Linked DNA regions of Cricetulus griseus. The protein of the gene in region 4 binds, or shares a complex with, the protein of the main gene of each other region. Links are inferred from orthologs where the notes say so. Each region holds a gene or a part of one and is shown on either strand. Other genes may lie near its edges.

What was found.
Region 1: Med8 (region 4) and Med19 share a complex: the UniProt entries of both Homo sapiens proteins name them as parts of the mediator complex. The link is inferred for Cricetulus griseus from reciprocal best matches to the Homo sapiens genes MED8 and MED19.
Region 2: Med8 (region 4) and Med4 share a complex: the UniProt entries of both Homo sapiens proteins name them as parts of the mediator complex. The link is inferred for Cricetulus griseus from reciprocal best matches to the Homo sapiens genes MED8 and MED4.
Region 3: Med8 (region 4) and Med31 share a complex: the UniProt entries of both Homo sapiens proteins name them as parts of the mediator complex. The link is inferred for Cricetulus griseus from reciprocal best matches to the Homo sapiens genes MED8 and MED31.
Region 5: Med8 (region 4) and Med26 share a complex: the UniProt entries of both Homo sapiens proteins name them as parts of the mediator complex. The link is inferred for Cricetulus griseus from reciprocal best matches to the Homo sapiens genes MED8 and MED26.
Region 6: Med8 (region 4) and Med24 share a complex: the UniProt entries of both Homo sapiens proteins name them as parts of the mediator complex. The link is inferred for Cricetulus griseus from reciprocal best matches to the Homo sapiens genes MED8 and MED24.
Region 7: Med8 (region 4) and Med7 share a complex: the UniProt entries of both Homo sapiens proteins name them as parts of the mediator complex. The link is inferred for Cricetulus griseus from reciprocal best matches to the Homo sapiens genes MED8 and MED7.

The regions. Positions count from the first base shown.
Region 1 is NC_048599.1:90,852,325-90,856,269, forward strand, and holds the start of Med19 (mediator of RNA polymerase II transcription subunit 19), read right to left. Parts: upstream 2,801-3,945; 5' UTR 2,713-2,800; coding exon 2,496-2,712; intron 1-2,495. UniProt on the Homo sapiens protein: Component of the Mediator complex, a coactivator involved in the regulated transcription of nearly all RNA polymerase II-dependent genes.
Region 2 is NW_023276807.1:228,014,915-228,019,187, forward strand, and holds the start of Med4 (mediator of RNA polymerase II transcription subunit 4), read left to right. Parts: upstream 1-1,473; 5' UTR 1,474-1,479; coding exon 1,480-1,604; intron 1,605-1,629; exon of another isoform or gene 1,630-1,926; coding exon of another isoform or gene 1,927-2,042; intron 2,043-2,131; exon of another isoform or gene 2,132-2,254; intron 2,255-2,491; coding exon 2,492-2,558; intron 2,559-3,852; coding exon 3,853-4,023; intron 4,024-4,273. UniProt on the Homo sapiens protein: Component of the Mediator complex, a coactivator involved in the regulated transcription of nearly all RNA polymerase II-dependent genes.
Region 3 is NC_048600.1:86,054,533-86,058,494, forward strand, and holds the start of Med31 (mediator of RNA polymerase II transcription subunit 31), read right to left. Parts: upstream 2,801-3,962; 5' UTR 2,659-2,800; coding exon 2,631-2,658; intron 1,635-2,630; coding exon 1,557-1,634; intron 1,286-1,556; coding exon 1,189-1,285; intron 1-1,188. Other genes in the region: uncharacterized protein C17orf100 homolog, read left to right, coding at 3,019-3,420. UniProt on the Homo sapiens protein: Component of the Mediator complex, a coactivator involved in the regulated transcription of nearly all RNA polymerase II-dependent genes.
Region 4 is NC_048595.1:33,902,819-33,906,881, forward strand, and holds the start of Med8 (mediator of RNA polymerase II transcription subunit 8), read right to left. Parts: upstream 2,801-4,063; 5' UTR 2,786-2,800; coding exon 2,753-2,785; intron 2,122-2,752; coding exon 2,003-2,121; intron 1,151-2,002; coding exon 1,006-1,150; intron 433-1,005; coding exon 292-432; intron 112-291; coding exon 30-111; intron 1-29. Other genes in the region: KICSTOR complex protein SZT2, read left to right, coding at 3,826-3,852. UniProt on the Homo sapiens protein: Component of the Mediator complex, a coactivator involved in the regulated transcription of nearly all RNA polymerase II-dependent genes.
Region 5 is NW_023276806.1:247,288,613-247,292,670, reverse strand, and holds the start of Med26 (mediator of RNA polymerase II transcription subunit 26), read left to right. Parts: upstream 1-1,258; 5' UTR 1,259-1,303; coding exon 1,304-1,375; intron 1,376-4,058. UniProt on the Homo sapiens protein: Component of the Mediator complex, a coactivator involved in the regulated transcription of nearly all RNA polymerase II-dependent genes.
Region 6 is NC_048600.1:111,813,063-111,817,030, reverse strand, and holds the start of Med24 (mediator of RNA polymerase II transcription subunit 24), read left to right. Parts: upstream 1-1,168; 5' UTR 1,169-1,230; exon of another isoform or gene 1,231-1,298; intron 1,299-1,625; 5' UTR 1,626-1,676; coding exon 1,677-1,806; intron 1,807-1,893; coding exon 1,894-1,976; intron 1,977-3,968. UniProt on the Homo sapiens protein: Component of the Mediator complex, a coactivator involved in the regulated transcription of nearly all RNA polymerase II-dependent genes.
Region 7 is NC_048600.1:60,992,662-60,994,835, reverse strand, and holds the end of Med7 (mediator of RNA polymerase II transcription subunit 7), read right to left. Parts: exon of another isoform or gene 2,154-2,174; intron 1,458-2,153; 5' UTR 1,441-1,457; coding exon 739-1,440; 3' UTR 501-738; downstream 1-500. UniProt on the Homo sapiens protein: Component of the Mediator complex, a coactivator involved in the regulated transcription of nearly all RNA polymerase II-dependent genes.

The DNA.
Region 1 (3,945 bases), on a different chromosome or scaffold from region 4:
TTTTTAAAAATGATTTATTTAAAAAATTTTTAGACAGTCTCTCTGTCTGTTCCTCTCTCGTTGGATGCCTTGAAGCTCCCTATATAGACCAAGTTGGCCTTGAACTCAAAGATCACCTGTCTCTGCCTCCAGAGTTCTGGGACTGAAGGTGTGAACTCAGCCTGAAAGATTTAATTTTACCTCATTTGTGTGTATATGTGTTGTGATGTGTGAATGCATTCCACATATTATTTGATTGCTTGTGGAGCCCAGTAGAGGGTGTTGGGTTCCCTGGAGCTGGAGTTAGGGGTAATTGTGAGGCTCTCATGTAGGTTCTGGGTACCAAGCTGGAGTCCTCTGAAAGAACCAAGTGCCCTTAACCTCATAACTTTGGAGCCATCTCTCCAGTTCTCCTGGCCCTTTCTGAGGACTTCATGCTTACTAAGCATGTACTCTACCAACTGAGCCACATCCCCAGTCTTTCTACTCATACTTTTATGCCAACTTAGCTTTGGGGCCTAATCAACCACTATACTACTCTTCCATTCAAATTGTTTTTCTTTTCTTTTCTTTGTTTTTAGTTTTTTTTTCCGAGACAAGGCTCTTCGTGTAACAGCCCTGGCTGTCCTGGAGCTCATGCTGTAGACCAGGCTGGCCTCGAACCCACAACCTGTCCGTCTCTGCCTCCCAAGTACTGGGATTAGAGGCATGCACTACCTCTGCCCGGCTGACAGCTTATTCTTGCTGTCATTTTGGCTAACAACATTCTGAAAACCATCAAGTAGTTCTTAATATTTTCCCTAAGATATCTGAAGCAAGACTACAAAGTAATAAGATTGACACCAACAAAAAATACAAGCATAGCCCTTAAACCATGTATTTTGAATCTCAAAAAAAAAAAAAAAAAGCTACCTAAAAACCAGGCTTACTAATCTCCACTTCTCACACCATCCCTCCCTCCATTCCCACATATCCAGCATTTGCCTAGAACAGAAATCACTATTTGTCAACTGATTTACACAAACAAGTACAATTAGAACAGGTAATGCAAAAGATAAAGAAAGCTGGGCATGGTGGCACACACTTGGAGGCAGAGACAGGTGTATCTCTGTGAGTTTGAGATCCGTCAGATCTACGGTGAATTCCAGGCAAGCCAGAGCTACACAGTGAGACCCTGTCTCAAAATCAAAACAACTAAAATAAAGAAAACTGTTGGAAGACACCTATCACTAAAGTACAGTCAATTTCTTTATGCTTCAGTTTCTCAATTATAAAACACAGACAATACTTATCTAAAAGGGCTATAAGTATTACATATTGTTACACACTGATATGAAATTGAAATTATTTTGCTAATAGTTACTGGAATGAACTGAGGACCTTTTTTGAAGCAGGATCTCGTCACCTAGGCTGAGCTTTAATCCAGATCTTCCTGCCTTCACCTCCTAAGTGCTGGTGTGTAGTACCACAAATCCCTAAGACTAACACCTCTTGATTTTTAGGCCTTCAAACTTTTTCTTTCCACAACTTCTTACTCTCAGACTATCATACCCTCTGTAGAAGACACCCCCAATTCTCTCTTTTTATATTTATTTCTGTAGGCTCTGCCTCTAACATGTATCCTTTATCCATTCACTTCTCTACAGCTAAGATTTAGTCCAAACTATTATTTCTTTCCTGAACAATGGCTGGTAACATCCGATTATCTTACTTTCATTCCTCATGTTGCTGCTGAATATTTGAAAATCAATAAATTAGATCATTTTGCACCCATGTTGAAATGGCTTCAATTTGAAATTTAAACACTCTACATTGCCTTATAAAGGTCTTTGCCTATCTCCCATCACTACTGGATTTGTTTGTTTTACTGGAGTCCAATCTGTCTTCGACCCCTTAGATATTCTAAGCTTCCCCCCCACCCCCCGCCTCCTGATCGATCAAGTCTCTCGTATCTATAGGTATCTCTTTTCTATCCACCGATAACTTTATTTACTCTTGAATGCTATCTACTCAGAGAAGACCTGTGAAAACTCATGCATGGCAGGTAAGAGTCCTACCACTGAGCCATGCGCCCCCAATTTCCAAATAATTGTATAAATGAAAGAATTAATTCAATTTTAATATTTTCTTTGAACATGTCAATCTCCGAGTCCCTGACAAGGATGGCTACTTACTATACACCTAACAGACTTTAAAGTCTTAGCGTCTCCAAAATTGTTAAATCAGGTCTCCCGAGTTCCAAACAATGGCTCACGTTTTTATAGAGTCACAAACGGCGGTCAGAGAACCGGATCACAGAACTTTTCGCCAGTAGTCCCAGATAGTCACACCCACCCCAAACCCATCCCATGAAATCAAGCTCTCTCTTAGGGTTATGAATCGCCCAAGAGCTTCTGACACTTGAGTTGCCCGCTGGCCACGCGTCGCCCGTTGCTTCACGCCTCGCACAGCAGGCTGAAAGCCACACCCGTCACCTAATCAGTACCTGATTGGCTGCTTTTGACCCCACTACTCACCGGGCAATTCCCGCATAAGGTAGAAGGGGCCGCTTCCAGCAGCCGACTTGTCTGCGCCCGCAGGGGCCGAGGTCGCCGTCGGGGGCGGGGCCGTGCCTGGGCCACCTCCCGGAGGAGGCGGAGGTGGCGGGGGCGGCTTTCCAGGCCCGAAACCTAGGGCGCTTGGGGGTGGTGGGGGGTCAGCCTGAGCTCCAAACAGCGCGGTGAAATTCTCCATAGCACTCTCGGCTCCTGCATTACCCGGGATCTGGCGTTAATGACTTTCATTGGCCAGTACTTTCCCAGGGTACCACCCTCGTCCTCGAAGAGCTTCCGGCCATTGGATACACTAGGCCCCGCCTACCACCTTCCTGTAGTTACTTCCGTCGCTCTAAGAGACAGTTTGGGAAGTAGTTCGCAGTCTTACAGCCAATAAAATGACTCAGGTAGAAGAGCGACAACTCTATGGACCAATAGACTGTCTAACTCATTTTCTCATCTATCATAGCACCCAATAAGAGATCTACATCCGGGTCCGGAGGCGTTGCATCTGATATTTGGCCCAATAGAAGCCTCGCTGGTGGGGGGCAGCGGAGGGAAGGGCTGGGGGCCGAACGGAGCCTGCGAGAGAACCGGCAAGGAAGATGGCTGTCCTCGCGCCTCTGATTGCTCTGGTGTACTCGGTGCCGCGGCTTTCTCGATGGCTGGCTCGACCTTATTGCCTTCTGTCTGCCCTGCTCTCCGCTGCTTTCCTCCTCGTGAGGAAACTGCCGCCGATTTGCAACGGTCTCCCCACGCAGCGCGAAGATGGTAACCCGTGTGACTTTGACTGGGTGAGCGCCCCCTGCCTCAGCTCTCGTTGACCATCCCTGCCCCTGCAGGTGCATATGAAAGTGTGGGGGAGATTTGGGGATGTAACCATCTGACAGACTGAATGGAAATCCGCTGCTAGTCTTAACCTCCTTGTTTAAGATGGAGAGAGAGATCCCAGGGTTTCTCCACACATAAACAGGGTTCTGCAGTGATGCCAAGCTTCCTGGAGCGCCGGCGAGGAAGGCAGGCAAGCCAGTAGTAGAAACACCACTTTTAGTCATTTATTTGACAAATTGATCGCAGTGTAGCTATTTTATTTATTTATTTGGCAAATTGATCTCAGTGTTGTTGGGCGACTTTCCCAAGGTCACACAGCGTTCACAAAGTGCTATCTAATCTTGTTCAAAACCCTCTGATAGGCCGACTTAGATCGCTAACTCAACAAAATTACTTAGGTGGAAAAGCAACCGCACGACTACCCTGGCCACTGTAACTGCACATACTATCATCCTCAGGGAGGATAGAAAAACAGAGATTACAAAAACATGAGGAGGGGGGAGCCTCTCACCATTTTAGAAGCACTAATTTCAGAACAATTAACATTTGCTGTGAAGGTTGTGGAACATAGAGCTAATATTCCTTCCCTATCTAAATATTT
Region 2 (4,273 bases), on a different chromosome or scaffold from region 4:
AAGATTGGGAGGACGTGGGTTTTCAATGTTGACAACCGGTCCTGCTTTGGAATATGTACTTTGTCAATTATTTACACTAATTTTTTGAATTGCTGTTCACACACTCTATTGATTCATTCGGTTTGCCAGTCATCTTGACTAAGGAGCAAGGCATTTTGTAGAAAGATGAGTTCTAAAAAGTAAGAAAGAAACCCAACCAAATGCCCATCAGAGGGTGGGTATGGTGTGCACAAGAGTGGAGTGGTGTTCAGACTTCAAGGGAGGGTATTTCTGGAACCTATTCCAATGTAGATGAAACTTAAGGGCATTTATGCTAAATGAATTCAGCCTGGTGGAGTGGCTCAGCATTCAGCATTGGTGGCTCATGCTTTTAATCCCAGCACTCAGGAGACGGAGGCAGGCAGATCTCTGTGAGTTCAAGGCCACCCTGGTCTACAGAAAGAGTTCCAGGACAGTCTCCAAAGAAATACAGAGAAACCCTGTCTCAAAAACCAAAAACAAACAAACAAACAAGCAAAAAAAAAGAGTTGGATATGGATGCTATTTAACAGCAATTTTGTTTTGTTTTGAGACAGGGTTTCTCTGTGTAGCCCTGGCTGTCCTGGAATTCTCTCTGTAGGCCAGGCTGGCCTAGAACTCAGAAATCTGCCTGCTTCTTAAGGTGTGTACCACCACTACTCTTATTTAACAGCAAGTTAAGGCCAGTGAACTCTATACATACAGTGGCTAAGATACTTAATTTAAATAGCCCAGTGGTGGTGGCAAACACCTTTAATCCCAGCACTCCAGGGCTTGGGGTGTGGCTCAGTGGGTAGAATGCTTGCCTAGCATGCTTAGAGCTCTAGGTTTGAGCCACAGGTGTGGTAGTACATGCCTAGACTACATGAGACAGTATTTAAAATTAAAAAAAAAACTTTTTAAAAATTAAACACTTGATATCCCAGCACTCCAAAGGCAGAGATAGGCAGAGCTCTGAGTTTGAGGCCATCCTGGCCCATAGAGTGACTTCCCGGATTAAAAAAAGATAGTGAATTTTATATGTATATATATTTTGCTACCAAACAAAAGAATGGGGGGGGGGGAAATGTTGGTTCCTGTCCTAAGATGTTTACTACAACCTCATGAGAGAACTATCTTAACGGGCTTGATAATATTATGGGAATGCAGACAAAATAAAAGTTAATAATTGTGCAATTCTCTCGCTTTCTTAAAATTCGTTTATTAGCAACTTCCCATTGCAGCTAAGGAAACAGGAGATCCAGGAGACTGGATAGCTCTCTCATCCTGGGTCCGGCTGGAGCAATCCCTCCTCTGCGCAGCAGATGGCGCCAGAACTGCAGTGCACCTCCAAGACCGTAGGCGGCGCTCTAGCGGAGCCTCTCTCTCACCACCTCTATGACTCTTCCTCCCGTGTTCCGGTTCCGCCCCTCCTGCCGCTAGCTCACTCTGCGCATGCGGTTGTTGGCGATCGGCTGGGCGATGGCGGCTTCTTCAAGTGGGGAGAAGGAGAAGGAGCGTCTGGGCGGCGTCTCGGTAATGGCAGGCGTTGGCAGCACGCGCGAGCGGCTGCTGTCTGCGCTGGAAGACCTGGAGGTCCTGTCGAGGTAACCGCGGCCCGGGAAACCTGCTCGGGCCGGCCCTGCTGTGGGCGCTGACTGGGGGTAGGCGGGCCGGGGAGTGTCGGGCCGGAGCGCGAGTGTGGGGCACCTGGGGTCTGCGGCCTTCCGGGGCTTTGGGCGGCATGTCCCCACTAAGGGGACATCTCAGCGACCTGGAGCCCCAAGACAGTAAGGAAGGGCCCGGTCCACGGACACTCAGCCCCGGAGTGCCAAGTGCAGGGATGCTGTAGTCGAGGGAGGCTGGGTGCCAGCACCAGGGAGCCCTGCTGGGATCACGAGCCGAGCTGCAGCCTTCTGGAGTCCACGGATGGGACCCCTAGTCCGGTGTAAGCAAGGCGAGCTTCCCAAACCAGTAGGCTGTCTGGGGAAGACATCAGACTCGTTAGGCGTCTGGCAGATGATCCCATCATCCCGGAAAAAAAGGTCAGAAACGTGCAGGACTTGGTGGGATGGCTCCTGTGTGGCAGAAGTAGATTAAGTTGGGTGTCATTCTCCATATTGTCATTATAAAGTCGATCAGTTGGAGCCTTGTAAGGGCAGAGCCCCATCGTCATGGCAGTCAGTGCTATCTTACAAGAAAATAATTTCCACAAGCTGTAGCCCTCCTGGATTCGGCCTGCAGACCCACAGTCCAGGTCAGATAGTTTTCTTGTAAATCACAACCATGAAGCCAGTAATCGGTTGGGACAGAGAGCAGTTAAAACAGTTTCTTTTCTATTTATTCTCACAGGTTTTTATTGTGTTCTTAAAAGGTTTCACTTGGTAGCTCAGGATGGCCTGAATCCCCCCTCCCCCCCACCACCACCCTACCCCACCCCTTTATCGAGTTTAAGGCAAGTACCACCGTACCCTGATGGTTGCTTTTCTTTTAGGGAACTTATAGAAATGCTGGCAATTTCAAGAAATCAGAAGCTGTTACAGCTGGATGAGGAAAACCAGGTAAACGGTTTCTTTTTTAATCTAAAAAAAAAAAAAAAAATGGTGGCTCACACCTTCAGAGGCAGGCAGATCTCTGAGTTTGAAGCCAGGCTGGTCTACAGAGTGAGTTCCGGGACAACCAGGGCTATGTAGTGAGATACTGTCTTGGAAAAAAATAAAATAAAACTCTGGTTTTTAAAAAAAGTATCAGTTTAAAGATTTCAAGTACGTTCTGTTCTCAAAATGAATATAAACATACGCTCAAACCATCTTTTTTGTTTTTGAGACAGGGTTTATCTGTTCGGTTGTCCTTGAGCTCTCCAAGATCTGCCTGCCAAGATGCCACCACTGCCCCTCTCTCTTTCTGGGTTTTTATGTAGCCGGGGCTTGCCTTGAACTTACTGGTCCTCCTACCTTTATCTCAGTGCTGGAATTGTAGGTGTGGTCAACACATCGGCCTGCTGAGCTCTTCTGTGTGTTCCAACCTCCCTTACATCATGAGTCCTTAGAATAGTCTGGCATACGATAGGTGTTATTGGGGAAGTTTTCTTTTTAGAGGAGAGAATAGGCTCATGGAGGGTGGTGACTTCTTTTCCTGTGACTTACTGCTAGCAACTGAAGGGTTACAAACTAAACCCCAGGCTTCTGTTCTCTCCTTAAAACTCTGCTTATATTTTGAAGGGGAAAAAACCCCAGCTCCCCCGCCACAACAAGATAGCATATTAAACTTGGTGGCATTTTTCCATATCTGCATACCATTTATTCATTATCTATTTATTCATTCTTTGTTTTTCGAGACAGGGTTTCTGTGTGTATCCCTGGCTATCCTGGAATTCACTCTGTAGACCAAGCTGGCATTGAACACAGAAATCCACCTGTCTTTGCCTCCTGAATGTTGGGATTAAAGGCGTGCGCCACCAACGCCCGGGTGTATCTCAAAGTTTTAAAGTGTTTGGTGCCAACTAAAGTCACTTCAAACCATTAGATTTTGGAAGAGCTTTTTATTATTCCGTAGTATAAGGATAATTTTTTTAATTTTATCTTTGGAAGATGAATAAACTTGAAATTTGCACAGTATTACTTCTGAAAGATATGTTCTACATGGAAAAGGACCAGAATAAAAATGGAAATTCTTGATATTAAAACTTGTTTCCTCAAACTACCCCAAATGGGCTATGTATATTGTTAATGCTGATTAAGACTATTCCGGGTGTTAAAACTGGTAAACCTAGCCAATTCAAGCATGGGTTCTTTGTCTCATTGGTGATAGCCTTGATAACCCTGTTGTCTGATGGAATCAACTATTATTTGACAGGTCTTGGAGCTGCTAATTCACCGAGATGGGGACTTTCAAGAACTGATGAAGTTGGCACTTAATCAGGGAAAAGTCCACCATGAAATGCAGGCATTAGAAAAAGAAGTCGAGAAGAGAGACAGTGATATTCAGCAGCTGCAGAAACAGCTGAAAGAGGCAGAGCAAATCCTGGTGAGTTGACGGTTGGTCCTGGAGAGGCGGCTGTTAAGTTCTCTCCTCAAAACTCTTGTTATATTTTGAAGGGAAAAAAAAAAAAACAAACCCAGGTTACCCTCATCCCCCCACGAGACAGCATCTCTGTATAGTGCTGGCTGTCCTGGAACACACTGTATAGACCAAGCTGGCCTTGAACTCAGAAATCCAGCTACCTCTGCCTCCCAAGTGCTGGGATTAAAGGCGTGTGCTGCCACCACTACCCATC
Region 3 (3,962 bases), on a different chromosome or scaffold from region 4:
GCACTGTTATAACAGCCTAATAACTTAAAAGTCTCTCCTTCAGATTCCTAAAGGAATCAATAATTGCATCATAAAGAGCAAATCCGGTGCAATCTGTTCTACAGGCAGTCCAGGATCAATTCAGAAAAGTGACTAGGATATAAAGAAAAGGCTTGAAATGTTTCCCTCTAATTTTTAAGATAGGGTCTATGTAGCCTTGACTGGCCTGAAACTTGCTACATAACTAAGCTGGCCTAAAACTCACCGGGATCTGCCGGATCTTCCTGAGAGCAGGGATTAAAGGGGCATCAGGCTAAAATTTCTGGGTTTGTTGTTGTTGTTGTTGTCCACCCTTTTAGGGGAGGGGGAGTTCAAGACAGGGTTTACCTGTGTAGCCCTAGCTGTCCTGGAAGTAGCTTTGTACACCAGGCTGGCCTTGAACTCAGAGATCTATCCACCTCCACCTCTACCTCTCAAATGCTGGGATTAAAGGTGTGTACCAGCTTGTTTTTCTTTTTTAATTAAGACAAAGCAGAGGGGTGAGTTCAAGGTTTTGTTTTACCATTCAAAGGGATAGCTGTGTAGTTGTGATGTTTCTCACAATTGTCTATCAAACAACTTGACAGTGTTCATGTTTGTCTTTCTTTTGTTTACAGTGAGTTAATGTGCACGATACATTTAGCACAGTACTTGACACATAGGAAACTATAAAGAAGACAGTAAGTCTAAGACTCCCAGAAAACACCACTTCTTATATGTTCATTTTCAGCTTATGGCTATACCACTACATTTTAGTAGTTTATAGGTTGGAAGGCATTAGAAACCCAGAGAGACAAGGGGAATGCTAAATGACAAGTTCAGACAGACCAAATCAAATCAGAGTCTTACTCTAAAACTAGTTACTGGATTTTATCCTACATGAATAGAAGTGGCATGTTCTGATTTATACTACTAAGACAGTAAATTGGTTTTGACAGACAACTGTTTGGCTTTGTTTGGTTTGAAGGGAGTGAGGTAAGAATGACAGCAGAAATAAGTGAGATTACTGTAACAATTCAAATTAGAAATGACAATGACATGACATGAACTAAAAGCAGAAAAATTCAAAACATAGTTTGCCATTCTGACACCGAGAAAACTGCTAAATATAAGCACTTCGTATTTATAATAAAGTATACACAGATTTAAGATTATAAAAATTAAACTTACTTTAGATACTTGGCATATTCTGGTTCTTTCCAGTAAAGCAAGTACTTAAGATAATTTACAAAAGCTTTGTCTTTGAAGTAACCTCTTTGGGCAAGAACTGAAAGGCATAAAGAAACAATCTGTATGTCAACCAACTGCTGGACTACTGACTTGTAATCGCTACAATAAAGTAGCTCTTTTAACATTCCTACCATCAAAACACAAGGAATTAAAAAACACAAGTCCTTGTTTGCTCAGTTAATAACTACAGACCATCGAAAGTAAAATCCCATTCAAACATACCGAAGTAAATACTATTATGAATTCCATCTCTTCTGTCAGAAATCATTAACAGCTAGCTACTCAACTTAATGATGTACTCGACTTACAATTAAGGTAATTTGGGTTGGCTAAACATTGCACAAATTCCAACTCCAACTGAAACCGAAGTCGATTTCCAGCATCATCTAGGAGAAAAAAGTAAAAGACACCCAAAATAAAAGTCACGATACCAATGATTTGTAGAAACAAAAACAAACTGCCAGTGAGACTGCTCAGCATGTAAAGGTGCTCACAGAAAAGTCTGATGACCTGAGCTCCATCCCTGGAACCCGCAGGGTTGCAGGAACAGTAGACTCCTGCAAGTTGTCCTCTGACCTCGGCATGCACCGCCCACCCCCATAGGAATGAATTTATGAAACAAATACCAAACTGCAGGAGAGATTTCCTTAGAAATCTCAGAGTGGAGCCTGGTTTAAAACAAAACAAGCCGAGTGGTGCATGCCTTTAATCCCAGTTCTTGTAAGGGGGAGGCAGGAGGATCTCTGTGAATTCCAGGCCAGCCTGGTATACATAGCCAGTTCCAGGCTAGGCAGTAGTACATAGTGAGACCCTGTCTTCAAAACAAAACAAAGATAATAAATTACCTAAAGTTAGTTGAGAAAAATAAACGAAACGGCTATTTAAGGCCACTATGGGAGGATGGTAACAGAGATCACTGGTTGGTCTGTAATAGCTGTGCCACCCCCAATGTTAGCGTTACAACCACAACTACTAACAGTGATTAAGTTAAACAAAAACAAAGTGCTAAATAAAAGCAGGAAGCAAGATGCAAAATGATTAAACAGCGGGGAGGAGACGGTAATCCGTATCAGAACCATACACGTTACAAACATTTCAAGCAAGTTCACGGGAAAAGCTCCATAGAGCAGACAATTGAAGGGCTCGGTCCTCTCCCTCAGTCCCACCCCGGCCCGCGAGCCAGGGAGTGGAGGTGTGAGCAGCCCAGGAGCAAAGATGTCGTTCACACAGGCCACAATCAGAGACAACACCGCCTTCTCCCCCACCGATCCCAACTCCTTAAGGATGCCGGGTTAAGCCCGAAAGACGGCGCGGGGAAACCGGAGAGAAGGGGGGAGGACCCGTTCCCTCGGTGAAGACTCCAGGAGCACGACACCACGAACCTGTCTCCATAGCGACGGCCGCGGCCATAACCAGAGAGGAGAGAGACGCGAACACAACCAGCCCGACCCAACCGCGGCTTCAAATGGTGAGGGAGGATCCGGAAGCCACGGCTCTTATTTCCGGTCGCGGGGCATGTGGGACGCGAGGGCGGAGACAGCCTCCTTCTGAGGAGAGAGGCCCCGCCTATCTGTGTGGTCTGGGCCGGCAGCCTGAGCAATTATCTAGCGGCGCGTGCTGGAAGAGCTCGTTGCTCGCAGATCCTATGTGGCCCGCAGCAGCCTACACTGACGTAGCTCATCACCCTGACGTCACCGTCCCTTGTGTGACGTGACACAGAGCATGAGTCTTGGGCCTCTGTGTCCCTTCTGACCTGGGTGTGCCAGCAGGATGGCCTCGCCCCTTAGGAGTAAATCCTTCGCCCCGCGAGTGGAAAGCACCCGCCAAAAGGAAACGTCGACTATCCGCGTGGAGACGTCGTCCCACCGCGAGGAAACGTCATCCCACCGCGTGGAGACGTCCTCCCGGCAGGTTCGAACGTCTTCTCGTCAGGTGGAGACCTCTCAGCGCCACCGAGAGGGACCCTCCCTGACCTCCTCCGCGAAGCGACTCCCTAGATTCCTCGAGGTATCCTCCCAGCACGTGGAAACCTCCTCGCAGTGCACGGAGACGTCCTCCAGCCACGTCAGGGCGTCGTCATCCCTGCGGGTGGAGACGACTGTGCACCGTGTAGAGAGCCCAGCCAGGAGGGACAAGCAAACAGCTCGCCAGAGTGCCAAAATGACCCGATGAAGTGGCCATGGCCCTTAGCCAGCACTGAAGTGTTTCCATTTGCCAGCCAGCCAGCTTCCAGGAGAGCCAAGCATCTTTGGTTTCATGGAAACAGCCTGTAAATCAATGTAAGAAACAGGCTGTGGTTTCTGGGTGCTGCCAACATGTATTGAGATTGCATCACCTTAGACCACCCTGCTGTTGACCCAGTGTACTATTTAACTCGAAGCCAGCACAGAAGGGCTTCAGACTTGCGGTGCGTATATACTCGGCTGATGATGGACAAAGAGGCTCTTTGAGTCTCTGCACCAGGTAAGTTTCGTAGCCTGAGGTCCCTCTAGAATGGTTTGACCACTTGAAATTTGCGAAGAAGGACCAAACTTGTCATGAATTCATGACCACTGGCTTGATTATATAGTGCTTGAAACCAATAGAACAAAGAATCATCTTTCATGGATTATTAATTGACCTTTATTTGTATTTCATAATAAGCTTTCCTATGTTAAGTTTTTATACACAGTACTCCACATACAGGCTTTTATTATTTTTTAAATAGGTCAGGG
Region 4 (4,063 bases):
CACTCTGTTCTGCCAACCAGCCTCCTTACCTCCACTCTCTGATTCTCGTTCCTCTTTGCTAATTTTCTCCAAAAGGTTTGAGCACATTTTATTCAAGCTCTGGATCTGCTTCTGCAACACACAGGAATTGATGTAGTGATTAGAAATGACTCTGGGAAAGCATCTTCCTTGTGCTCTTCCAAAGGCAGCCTAGCTGTAACCAACCACAGACTCCTACTACCCAGGCTTGGTAAAGTCTTGCTTCTTATGAAGGGATGGGGATGGGGCAGCAGGGCAGTGACTCAGTCCAACCTGAGCTGCATCAGCACCAATTCTGGCAGCATCTGTTGTCAGCTGCTTCTCCTGCTCTTCAACTTCAGGGTCAGGCTTGGTTCTCAAATGGTCAGGGACGACCTCATGGCTGAAAACAGGCACTCGTCCTTCAGTCTGACGCTGTAACACAGATTGTATTGATCCTATTGTGCTATCCAAGTAAGCCGATTCTAACCCAGTTTCTCTTCCGTGGGAAACTGCATTTTTAGAGACAACACAACCTGAGACACAAATGTAGCTTTCTGTGGCTTTGTCTTTTCACATACACTCTATCAGAACTAGGACAAAATAAATTCCACCCTCCACAACCGCACTGTAATTTTCTTTTTGTTGTTGTTTCTATTTTGTTTTGGTCTTTCGTGATTCCCCACCCCCATTCTGGGGACCAAACCAGGACTTTTTTCTACCACTGAGCTAAATTCCTAACCCCACATTTTAAAGACTGATTGGACAAAGTTACAGGCAAGCAGAACAGACTTTTTTTTGGAAAAGAAAGGTCATGGACTTAGTTGACATGGCCTTGGCTTTCACAACATTATTTAAGAGTGACTCCTGACTCCAGAAGGACAAAAAAGCAAGTCTTCCAGATAGCAGCCCCTACTTTTCATTGCTATACAGAGGGTCCAATCAACAACTGTGCTCCAGACTTTCATTTAAGGACCTGATTTCCCTGGTTCAATCCTTTCTTCTTACCATGAGGTCTTCATCTCGATCTGGGGACAGCACCAAAGGGATGATGACCTGGTTACGGAACAGTGGTGTCTTCTCATGCTTTAAGACCTTGTTCAGAGTGTTCAACTGTCCAGAGAGCAATGCAAAGCTATCCAGGACAGAGGGCCTGCGGGTGGTAGGAAGTCATCAGAACTACTTTTCCCTATAAAGTAATCTCTAAAGTTCTAATGCTGGAACACCCAGACTCACCCCCAGAAGACTCACAGCCCTATGACTAGCCTAGGCAAGAACCAGATTTTCTAGCAGAGATGATGGAGTTGGGAAAGAGGAGCACACTGTCAATTTCCAACACGGACACACAGACGTAGAAAAAAAGCAACTCTTTTCCTTTTGGGGGGGTGAGGGGGCAGGGTTTCTCTGTGTAGCCCTGGATGTCCTGGAACTCACTCTGTAGACCAGAATGGCCTCAAAATCACAGAAATCCACCTGCCTTTGCCTCCTGAGTGCTGGAATTAAAGGTGTGTGCCACCACTGCCAGTCGTAACTCATTGTTTGAATGGGATTGGAGGTAGTGGAAAACAGAAACTGTGGTTACACTGTGGTAACTAAAAATTCTTTAAGTGGATAAAAGCCTCCTTTCTAGCCTAGTTAACAGAATCCATCATTCCAGAGTAGGGTGGATCTCAGATTCAGCCACATCTGTGGAAGGAGATCCAGCATGAATATAGCTTTAATGGTTCCCCACTGGGGGAACACCTCCTCACCAAAGAAGTCAAAGCGTAAGAATTAAAACCTCGAAACAGCCTACGTTGGGAAACTGGGCATTTCTCTACTTCCTTGCCATGGAGGCTTTAAGCCAAACTATACTTGTCAATGTTGGGCAACCTAGTTCTTGCCAAATCAAAAAGGATATTTGCAAACTGATAAATAGTTACATCATTGGAGATGTCCTGTCAGCCCGGGGGCTTGGCCCCACCACCCATGGATTCCCTCCCCGGCTTGCCCTGGCAATCCTTACCAAGTCAGCCGGTCATACTCGTTTTCCAACTTGTAAATGAAACTCCCCAGTGAATTCTTCAGATCGGCCACTTGATTCAGCAGTGCATCTAAGGATGCCTCAAGCTGCTTCTCCTCCCTCTGCATCAACAGTATGCTTGGTTACTCAGATACGAGCGATCGTGGCACATACAGAAAAGCTAAATTGGTTTCTATCTTGGTATTTGGGTTACAGACAGCATCAACCCTTAGACCTTTCAACCTGTTCACCTGGCCTGAAGTCCTCTTACCAATTGATTCCTTCTATCAACCTCCTACACTATGGCCCTTCAAAAGGAACATTACACCAGACCTAATTCCCTTCTGCTTATGACCTCACCATTTTGTCTTCATAACAAAACTGGCTTAGAACTGTTTATCACTTAGCCCTTCATCTTTTCACTTCGATTCTCTTCTCCTCCCAGCTCAAAAGACTGCCTCTCTTAAAAGCCAACATTCTCTTAATCTGCAGATGCTCAAGCCAAAGCACAATCTTCTTTGTTAAGTCTAGCCTTTTCTGGAAAACAGTCTGCCTACCACGCAGCTGCTTGATGTCCTAACTCTGCTTTCCTTGGGCATATAGAGAATCCTTGTATTGTGTCATTCTGTGGAGTTGGTATTGCCACATTTCTTTCAGAAAGTTCAGTACATGTTAGAAAGGTTTGCCAAGGTAACAGGGGTGCTGTCGGCATATAAGGCCAGAAGGCACACCTGAGGTTCATTATCTCATTACCTCATGGGTGCCTCTATAGTACATGCAAGCCATTATCCTCTGCCCTGTGAGTGCAGCTACTCTCAACACAATCTGGAGAATCTCACATTTTGCCCGTATCTGAGGCTGTCTCTGAACACCAGCTCTGCAGCTCCCCTCCCCAACTGGTCCTTTGCTGAGTCAATGTGTACTCCTGCATCTCTGTGCCAGTATTCCAGTGTCTCTTTCGTAAACTCGGGTGACCCATAAACAGTCACTGTAGGAATACCAGGTGCAACAAACTGAGTAATGGAAGACAAAGGCGAGGAAACCAACACATTCTTTCTGGACGTTAGACAATTTTAAATGCTGTGTTGGCAGAGGGTTTCCGTTTGACCATCTGTGGTCTATTTACTCCACTTCTGCGCCCTAAGCAACGGGGTACAAGGCGGGAAGAATGACACAAAGCTGATTTGCAAACCCGAGAATGTGAAGGATGAGGTTGGATACTAGGTTCCACCCACAGCCTCGGATTACAAACTGCTTAGTTTTCGTCCTTGGCGGCCCACAATCCCTTCAGCCTTCTGAAGCCTTGTTGCGCCTGTGCCCAACAGTCGAGGTCGAGGGCTGTCCCAGCCCACTTCTTTCTCTAGCCTTCCCAAATGCCAATTCGATCCTTTCACACAGTCAAGCAAGTCGGCCGTGCCTTTCCCCCTAACCCACGCCTCTGACCCTCTGGCGTTAGCGCGCTAAATCCCCGCGCCCCCCGCAGCTGTCCTCGTCCCTTCCGGCTTCGCCGCCTTTCCCCAAACAGCCGAGGCCTCTGCCCTATCCTCACAGCTCCAACTTCCCAGAGTCCTCGGCCCGCCCACCCTCCAGCCGGTGGCTAGCGGCTGGGAGGCCCAACCGGCTTCTCACCTGCATTGCCACGGCCCGGTTGGCGCAACCACTTCCTCTTCCGGTTTCTCGCGCCGCCGTCTGTGCCCACCAATCAAAAAACTCAGAACGCGGCCATCCCTACGACTTCCGGTTCCTGCCCGGTACCGAGCTAGCTGGGTCAGAGGTCAGGAGTGGAGCATCCTCCCTGGCCCGGGCCGGCGCGGGAGGGCTGTGTGATGGCCTCGGAGCGCCCGGAGCCAGAGGTGAGGGGCGGGCGGGCGCGGGACCGAGGCCCAGAGGGCAGGCGCGTAGCAGCCTCCACCCTCCGGAGCCTCGAGGAGGCCGTAGCTGTTTTGTTTACTCAGATGTCATCCTGATCCTCATCTCCCACCCACAGATCTAGAGATGGTTGTAATGACAAAACTTCGTGTTTGGGGTATTAGTTGCGATTTTCATTGGGCCACGCTGAAGCTG
Region 5 (4,058 bases), on a different chromosome or scaffold from region 4:
CCCCCTCTCCCCCATCCCCCGATCCCGGCTAACCCTCAGAAGTATAACAAATTCAAAATTAACAGGGGTCGCCCAGCTCTCAGGAGCACATGTGGTTCCCATTACCTGTTTCCCTTCCGTTTCCAGTCTGGATCTTTAAGGTAACCTCGGAGCCCGCCGCCCGCCCGCCCGCCCTCCTCCCGTCATCTGCAGCGGAGCTCCGGGTCACCCAAAGACGGGGGGTCGGGAGCCCGACACTTAACATCTCGCTTCTCTTGGTGTGGCCTAAAACTCCAGGTGGTTCTGACGCTTGCTTTCCTGCTCGGTGGGGCGTTCCTGTTTTCCAGCACCTGAGATGCAAAGCCAACAGGAAGGGGCGGATGCCGGGCTGCAGCCCCGCCACCTCGGGCACGGCGGTCCCTCCGGCCGGCGACGCGAGCGGCGCTTCCTCCTGAGCGGGTCGCGCAGGCCCTGTCGGAGGCGGCGGTGCCCTTAGGTCCCCTCTGCGCGGGTCATACGGGGACACGCACTGCCCCGCAGACCCGCGCCTCCGGTTTCCACCGCGGCGGCGGCTGCGCAGAACTCTCCCGAGGTCCTCGCGGCGCGGGTCTCCTTGGCGTCGCTCCTGAGCCGGGTCCCAGCCCCCGGCTGCGGCCCTTCATCCGAGGGGAGGGTCCTCCTTCTCCGCACCCCCGAGGCAGCCCGGAGGAAGAGTCCAAGCTCCAAGACCCAGCGGGTGCGCTTCCGTTAGGAAGCTCCGCCCACCGGTTTTTCGGAGTGGGCGTGGCCTTTAGACAGCGTCCGTTGCCCCGCCCAACTGCCTCCCAACGGCTCTCTGGAACGGGCCATGGGGCGTGGCGACGCGACCTGATAAACGCGCGTGCGCGCGCATGCGCAGAGGCAACAGAAGCGGCTCACGAGCCGGCCCCTCCCAGAGCCAGAGTCTCCGCCCGCCCCCATCTCCCAACCTCCTCAGCGTGGCGCCGACGCTGCGTGCGGCGCGGGTTACCCAGAGTGCTCAGCGCGGGGGCAGCTCACTGGAGTTTGGTTCTCGAGGCGGCGGCGGCGACGGCGGCGGCGGCGGCTTCTCCGTCGGCTCCTCCTCCCCCCCTGCTCGCAGCAGCGGCGGCGGCCCGGGGCCCGAGCTCCGGTCCCCTCCGCTTCCCTCCGTCTTCCGCCATCTCCCCGAGCGCCCCGACCTCCTCCGGCGCCGCGGGGAACATGCGGCTCCGTTCCCGGAGGCTGGCGAGCGACTGACCCGCGTCCCCCCGCCCCAGCCCGCCCGCCCGCCGGCCCGGCCGCTCCCCCCCGCTTCGCCCAGGCAATGACAGCGGCTCCGGCGTCTCCGCAGCAGATGAGGGACCGGCTGCTGCAGGCCATCGACTCCCAGAGTAACGTAAGTGACTGCTTGGAGAACGGGGACCGAGGCCGCATGTGCCGGGACCCTCCCCCTCCGACGCGCCCCCGGCCTGGGGGCCTCTCCCGGCGGCGCCCTGCCCGCCACAGCCGTTGCCATCTCGGCCTCTCGTTCTCCCGGGTCCAGGGGCCGCGGGCAAGGCGGGCAGCCCGGCGACTCAGGGTACCTGAGGCCGAGGCTTCACGCGGCCTGGACTGAGGGATCGCTCGGAGCCGAAATCAGACCTGGTTCTCCTCGGTTGCCTCGGCCAGATTGTCCTTGGTGCTTTCCACCTTGCCTCCCTGTCTCTCTTCGACCCCGGGACTTGAGACCCCCCGGAAGGGTCTCCCTACGGGGGTCAAGGTGGGAAGCAACTAGTGTCCCCCGATGACTCTGGTAGCCCGCGTCTCCCTTCGGTCTTCTGGCTGAAATCGTCTTCTTGGGCTCGGAGAGAACCCTAGGCCCTCCTTGTCCCTAGTCTTGCTGCTTGGGATCCCTGGAGAGTTTCCCTTCTTTTCTGATACTGGACAGACCCCAGTTTAATCCCTCCAAGGGTCGCTACCTAGGAAAGACGACCCTGCAGAAGGTGGGATCCTTCCTGTCACCTTTCTTGGCCTAAATGTCCCATTGTGTGTCTGACAAGCCTGGGGTTTTGGTACTGAATTCCTGCTCATCACAGTCGATTGTTCTCTCGCCCCTATTCTGGTCTTCTTTCCATCTCTCTTGCCCCACCTGAGGGACTCGGCCTGGTGTTTGGTCTCTAGGCTGTCAAGAGTTAACTGTATGGGGTCACTTTATGTCACATTTCCCTCTGCTAAGCGTCCTATGAGCAGAGGGACACCCTTTCTTCCTGTGTGAGCATAGGCTAATCTCACCTGTTGTGTTTTTTCCAAAGGTTTGTTGGCAGTGTAGGGAGGGGGTGAGGGTCTTTGTTCCTGGAAGCAGCAGGGCCATGAGAAGATGCACAAGCATCCAGGTATGAAGTGTTTGCTGGGAGACCAGGAAGTGGCCTTTGAGATCACTTTTTAATATGCTCAGGATGGAAAGAAAAATCATCTTGGGCTTGGCCAGGTAACTGAGGTTTGAGCAGGGAGCTCTTTTGGTTCCCTTACTTGTGCTTGGCTTGTTACTCTTAGTAATGTGCCATATTCTGGTGTGTTCCAAGAAATTCACATTAGTTGTGCAGTCTTGGTAGAAATGGAGGTTTCCTGATCTCTGGAAGAATCTGCTTGCCAGATTCAAAGTAAATCTCTTCTTCCTGATCTTGAGGCCCTATTAAGATCACCTTGATACTGATTTAGCCAATATTTTAGACATTTTTGGTGGGTGGAGTAAGGACAGGCTAGATAAAATCTTCTAAAAAGTCTTTTTTTTTTAAATGTTTTTTAAAACAGTGACTGATATTACTGCAATTACATGATTGAGATATTAAAAGATACAAACAAGTGATGTGAAAAATGTAACCTCAGTGGCTTTTGCATGTTTTCTGAAGCTACAATGTACACAGTGGATTTTTTTTTTTTTTTTTTTTTTTTTTTTTTTTTTTGAGACACGGTTTCTCTACCTGTAGACCAGGCTGGCCTCAAACTCACAGAGATCCACCTGCCTCTGCCTCCCAAGTGCTGGGATTAAAGTTGTGCGACACCACTGCCAGCATCCACAGTGTAATTCTTAAGTCCTGTATGTTGACTCGTGAGAAATCACCAGGGATCCTGACTGCTGCCTGTGAGAGTGCTGGGATCAGCTAGTGCTTTGATAGGCAGTAATGATGCTTCGCTTCAGGTGGGGCAGCCTTGCGGGTAAGGCTCTGACTAAAGGATTCTTTTGGGGGTAAAAGAAGGAAGATAGAGGACTCAAATTTTAGTGTGTGAGTGTGTGTGTGTGTGTGTGTGTGTGTGTGTGTGTGTGTGTGTGTGTATTAAGACAGAGCCTCTGGAACATACTATGTCCTTTGCCTTCCGAGTATTGGGATTAAAGGCGTGGGCCACAGTGCCTGGTCCCCAAACCTTTGCTTTTTGAATCTTACCTTGGGCCTAAGTGTTAATATACTCCTTCACCTGTGGGTAAGTTACTTGGAGTGGAGTGTGTATCTCAAAGGGCTATAGGGATAAGTGACCTCATTGTGATGGCTAGAGTTGAGAACTTGTCTCTTAATGAGGAGGGAAGTTTTTCTCTAAATGCAGTGTATCAGTAACTATTCATGAACACTGTCATGTGCTGGCTTTGCAGGACCTCTTTGTAGAACTCAGCCTGGAGGACTGTCCTTGATTTCTTCCAGAGGCATTGAAGGGTACTTTTTCTGGATTGTTCAGGGCCCAAGTAAGAGCTGTGTGCTGGCACAGGGCTCTGCTCTGCCCAGTTATGAGCTCTACCACTTGGTAATTGACACATATTTAAGATGTTCATGGAAAAAAATACAAAATGGGGACACAGTTGAAGAGCTTACACTAAAATTAACCCTCTTGAGAGAAAGTGACAGAGATTGGTGTCATGTAATGCTTACCTTTATGAGTGCAATCATAGCTAACAAATTTAGCTGTTGCTTGGAAAGTCAGTGCCAGGCAGCTGACCTACTGTCCACAGTCTCTGAAATTGGGAGCAGCTCCTTGACCAAGGAGGTCTCTAGAGGAAGGCCAGCTCTGCTGTGTGTTCTAGCTTCTGAGCAGCAAGCACTGTCCTTTCT
Region 6 (3,968 bases), on a different chromosome or scaffold from region 4:
GAGTTCGAGACCAGCCTGGTCTACAAGAGCTTGTTCCTGGACAGCCTCCAAAGCCACAGAGAAACCCTGTCTCAAAAAACCAAAAAGAAAAAGAAGGATTGATCTGGCCCTACTCCTGTTTATATTGTGTTCCAGGTATTTAGGCTCCTATCAGTTTCCTACTAAATGTCTACAAGGCCATTTTCAGAGCCTTTACGGGTTGCTTGATGCTGATTTTCATTCAAAAGCTTGAAGTAGGGAATGTAGTTCAGTGGTACAGTGCTTGATTACCTGTACGAAAAGGAGGGTGGGACTAAAGGGAGTTGTTGGGGACTATAAATGGATTTTGAAGCCACAGGCTGAGTTATCAGTCTTCTTGGGATCTGAGTTTGGGAGTCAAGAAAAAGAGGGGTTATAAAACACTGGTCTGTGGCCTCCAAGTGTGTTTTATAGGGTGGTCTCACCCACAGTACTACATCACATTTTCTTTCTCTAGGCCTTCTTTGTTTGTTTGTTTTTGCTTTTCCAGACAGGGTTTTTCTGTGTAGCTTCAGAGCCTACCCAGGCTCTAGACCAGGCTGGCCTTGAACTCACAGAGATCTGCCTGCCTCTGCCTTCCAAGTGCCAGGAGTAAAGGTGTGCGCCACCCACATCTGGCCTTATTTTTTTCCTTACTTCCTTACAGTATTCAGGATCAGGGGATTCTGGAAGCACTGTCAAACTTTGGAGTGAAATGGTGGTATGTGTACAACTAGCCACACTTCAGTGTCTCTTTTGGAATAGAAACGAGACCTCTAGTGGCAACAGGAAGGGGCTTTGGAGAACAAAAACCAAAAACCCAACAGAAGCCAGGTTGGAACACACTGCATATATAACACATAACACCCAAGTTGTGTCTCGTTACAGGGAAATAACCAGAGTATCAGAATGACTGAAGGTACAGATAGATGGCTATGACATTGAGAGACAGAGTGTTTCTTCCCTAGGCCCTGAGTCTCCTGGTACAAACGTACCTCAGCTCTCTGTATCATCTCAGAGAAAACCTACCAGGAAACAATTACACTAATGCTTTAGCTTGCTTGTGGGCAAAGACAAAGCTTAAGGAACTACAATTCCCAGAAGGTACTGTGGCAGGACTTGCCTCTCGCTACGTTTCTATTGGTCGGTGTCTGTCAACGCGGGCCAATAGTAAATGAGTACCTTAATAGGTGCCAAGATGGCGCTGCCTACGATGTAGAACTCGGTTTTCCGGTAGGCTTAAATTTGGGGAGATGGTGAATGAAAGGAAAGGGAGAATTACAGCTTCAGCGCCGAGGAAGGTAGAGGAAATGGGGAATGAGTAGATCTGGGTTTGGGGTGGTAGTGGTGAGGGGCACAGCTAGAGCGAAGGGCATAATTCGGCAACCGGGGCGGGCTTAACCCCTTCCTGCTCTCTTGAGGGCTTTGGCGTGGCCCGTTTGATACACCTCTGTCCCAGTTCAAGGAACGATTGCTCAGAACGGGAGAGCGTGACAGAAGAATCTCTACCTTGCCGCCCCGGTTTCTACTCTGTCTAGTTTTTCTGTCTCGCTTAAGTCTTTCCGAATTTCCCTTGTGTTTATCTCTCCCATGTGATTTCCCTCAGAACCCCATCTCTCCTCTCGTAGCATTTTTAAACGCCCACCCCGCCACCGGTCCCGCCTCCTTGGAGTGAAATCATGAAGGTGGTGAACCTGAAGCAAGCCATTTTACAAGCCTGGAAAGAGCGATGGAGTGACTACCAGTGGGCAATCAACATGAAGAAATTCTTTCCTAGAGGAGCCACCTGGGACATTCTCAACCTAGCAGGTGTCCAGTACAACGTGAAGGACGGATGGGGCGGGGTGAACCCCGGAAAGCTCCAACCACTTAGCCTTTCTTTAATTCCCCTTGCAGAAGCACTCCTGGAGCAGGCCATGATCGGACCTTCCCCCAACCCTCTCATCCTCTCCTACCTGAAGTACTCCATTAGTTCCCAGGTAAATATTCCCATACCCCAGCCTTTTGGAGGTAAAACATCTGGAGAACAGTTTTCAGTTTATTTTCTTATAAGGCTAACACTTCATTTTTTGTGATGAACATTTCATTCATATGCTCTCTCTATATACATTTACAATTAAAAGTTTATATAATTAGGTGGAGGTTAGAAGACAGTTTCGTGGAGTCGGTTCTGTTCTTCCCACCTTCATATAGATTCTCTGAGGATTTGAACTCACATCAGCAGGATTTCATGCCAAGCGCCGAAATTTACCTGCTGAGCCTTCTTCTTCTTCCTTTCAAGACAGGGTTTCTCTGTGGCTTTGGAGGCTGTCCTGGAACTAGCTCTTGTAGACCAGGCTGGTCTCGAACTCACAGAGATCCGCCTGCCTCTGCCTCCCGAGTGCTGGGATTAAAGGCGTGGACCACCACCGCCCAGCTCCTGCTGAGCCTTCTTGCTAGTCCCTTGTTTTATTTTTGAGACAATGCTGAGGATGGACTTAAATTCCTAGGGCCTGGATGTGCTAGGCAAATGCTCCATCACTGAGCTATATAGCCCTACTCAGTATTTCAGACAGTGGTAGGCCCTGGGGATTTGGTCCTAGTACACAAGGAATGTAGAAGGTGATGCAGACTACCACTAATAATTGACAGGATATGTTTAGGACACAGTATGGAAAAAATGGAAGGAAAACATGGATATGATACCTAGGCCTTTCTGAGCAGTCAGGGAAGTTTTCTAGAGGAAGCAATTTCTTTTTTTTGTTTGTTTGTTTTTCTTTTTCCTTTTTTTTTATGGTACAATGGTTTTATTCTATCTTTTTTTTTTTTTAATTTATTTATTGTGTATACAACATTCTGCTTCCGTGTATATCTGCACACCAGAAGAGGGCACCAGATCTCATAATGGATGGTTGTGAGCCACCATGTGGTTGCTGGGAATTGAACTCAGGACCTCTGGAAGAGCAGCCAGTGCTCTTAACCTCTGAGCCATCTCTCCAGTCCCCAGTTTTATTCTATCTTAATCTCATTTGGTGCTTTGTTTATCTGAGCCTCCACCCCCACCCCCACCCCCCACCCCCCTGTTTTGTTTTTTGAGACAGGGTTTCTCTGTGTAGCTTTGGAGCCTATCCTGGCACTCGCTCTGGATACCAGGCTGGCCTGGAACTCACAGAGATCCGCCTGCCTCTGCCTCCCGAGTGCTGGGATTAAAGGCGTGCACCACCAACGCCCGTCGAGGAAGCAATTTTTTTTAAAAGATTTATTTACTTTATTACTTAACGTGCTTGGGTGTTTTGCCTATATTATGTCTGTTCAAACATGTTCAGGCAGTGCCTGTAGAAGCCAGAGAAGGGCGTTGGCCCTCCCTGGGACTGGAGTTACAGACAGTTGTGAGCTGCCCTGTGGGTGCTGGGAATCAAACCCAGGTCCTCTGGAAGAGCAGTCAAGTGCTCTCACCCTCTGGCCTTCTCTCCAGCCCCTAGGAAAGTGATATTTATTAGAGCTCTTGGTGTTGAGTTGGTGTTAGCCACACACATTAATGAGAGTGGAAGGCAGAGAGAAGTATACACAGGGTGGGACGGAGAAATGACAAGACATTTGTTACTGAAAGTAAGGGCTGGAAATACAGTTCACTGGTAAGGCATTTGCCTAGCATGCACAGGGCTCTGGGTTTGATACCCAGTGCCACAAAGGGGCTGAAGTTAATGTGGCATTGCTACAGCAGAGCTGGACTCTAACATTGTACACACACTTGATATCCTAGGGATTAAAACAGAAACTTTAGGCACACTTGTTTAGAGGCAGGGAGGTGGTTCAGGTAGGAGAGTGCTGTCTAAGCATGGACAAAGTCCTGGGTTTTTGATTTTTTTTTTTTTTTTTTGGAAGTCCAGGGGTAATTTTACCAGCATATAAGGGAAAGCACAGTGTAAGTGAGGTAACAATCCTGGCAGCTGCCAGGAGGAGGTGAAGAAAAAGTCATACCTTCTAAGTCA
Region 7 (2,174 bases), on a different chromosome or scaffold from region 4:
TTGCAAACTTCCAGATTTAACACCAGACGTCGGCTTTAAAGGAATAATGCAGAGGCTAGAGAGATGACTCAGTGGCTCACATTCTGCTCTTTGTATAGTACCAGTTTGGTTCTCAGCATCCACAGAAATGGCTTTCAACCACCTTCACTCCAAAAAAAGCCAACACCCTTTTAGCCTCTGCAGGAAATGCACTCACACTCACATAGACAGCTAACACAGGAAATATAGTTAGCACATAAGATATTTTAATGTCTAAAATGAACATAAACTTAGTGACCGAAGACTGATTACCTGACTGGGGGGAAGGGGAAGCCCCTAGCAGATATTTTATGGAAGATAAGGAAGAAGCGGCTGTGATACTGAGTTTGTAGAACAGTCATCAGGAAAATAGTTCCTGTATTGTTTTGGAATAAATCTAAACATTTTGTAATTTCACATGTACAGTTTGATGCCCTTTATTAGTCTTAAAGGAAATAACTCCCCCGTAAGAATGACAGTTCAATATTTCTTAAAATTTTTATTCCACTTCCAAAAATAGGACTATCCCATTCAATAGCAAACATTCTGCTTTTTTATGATCATTACTCAAATATACTTCCTTGCCTATCCTTACTGTTAAATTATCACCTACAGCATTTCAATTGAGAAAAGTCCCTTTATATTTTTAGTTATACCTCTTAAGACTGTCCAAGAGAAAATAAACTAATATATGATGCTATTCACTAAAAGAAAAAATACTCATGGTCTTTCATTCATTTCATCAACTAGGACACATAAGGCAGCATCTTTCTCTATAATCTGGTCCCTCCTGTGACCTGAATTTTCTCTTTGTTGTTCATTTTGTCCAGTACAATTGCTGTTATCATCAGTATCCATTGGCTCAGTTTTAACTCTCATCCCTGCTTCTGAATGGGGTAAATCATCTGGCAAAGAAGCAAGGCAATTTTGGATCATTTCAATTACTCGTTCCAGGTGTTTCTGAAACCTCTCAGCTGTTTCAAGACGTTGCCGTTTCTGGACCTCCATCATTACTCTCAAGGTCTCTCTTGCTTGGTGGGGTCGATACTCATTTATAAGATGATGCACATGTACGAAAAGCAGCTTAAGATCTTCTAGCTTCTCTTCTCGTTTTATACTCCCAGGGCTCCTTATTAAGATATCTAAAAGGTCCAAGAAATTAATCAGTATAGACATATTGAGTTTTCTCAGTTCTTTCTTGTGATCAAATTGCATAGGATGAAGCCGTTCAATGCCCTGACTTTCCAAAGGGCGAATGATAAGATCATCACATTGGAACTGGTTGCCGAACATCATGTAACTGTCTTTAATTGGAGGGGGAGGCTTGGGAGCTAAGCCTTCCTGAATATTTTCATCTGTATATTCCTTGATGTACTGCATTGGAGGTGGTGGGAGTGCACTCACTTGCTGTGGTTCACCCATTGTCGACAATCAAGAACCTAAAGAAACAGAACACAGATTCAGAGCAGAACCAGACAACACTACCCCCAACCACCATCAGTGACTTCAGAGTATGTTTTTCCTTCTTCTGACAGGACAGGGTCCAAGACAAGATGATCTCAGATTTAAAACTAACATTTACAAAAAGGGAATGGCCATCAATTATTTTCTAATTAAAGATTATGTTGTTAACACCCCTATTGTTTTCCTTTATCTCCTTGGTGCTTTCCAGAGCAGTTAAATAAACAAGTTACTCTTTTTCATATATAAATAAAATCTGAGGGGATTGGAAGCTAGGGCAGCCACACATCAGCTGGGTGTCTGCTGAGGCAAAAGAAAGATAACAGCCTACGGATGGATGTGCAGGGTGTCTTGTTTTTGCTTTGTGCCTAGGATCTTCTGTTGCCACCCCCTCCCTGCCCATCTGGGGGAAGAGGGTCTGTGCAGCAGACATCTAGAAAGGCACACCATTCCAGCAGAAGGCAGGTACCCATAATTACAGTAATGGCATTGAAAAAAATAAAAACAAACAAAAAACCTTTCTGAGCACAAAAGACACTAGCACTTGTTAATTTCTCAAAGATAAACCCATACAAAGCATCCTGAAAATAAAGGGGTGTGGTGGGAGGAAGAGGCTCTTATGACATCTGTCACTGTATCATGAAGCTTCACTGCTGAGGAAAAAAATTACCAACCAATGACCAGGGCAGCCTGGA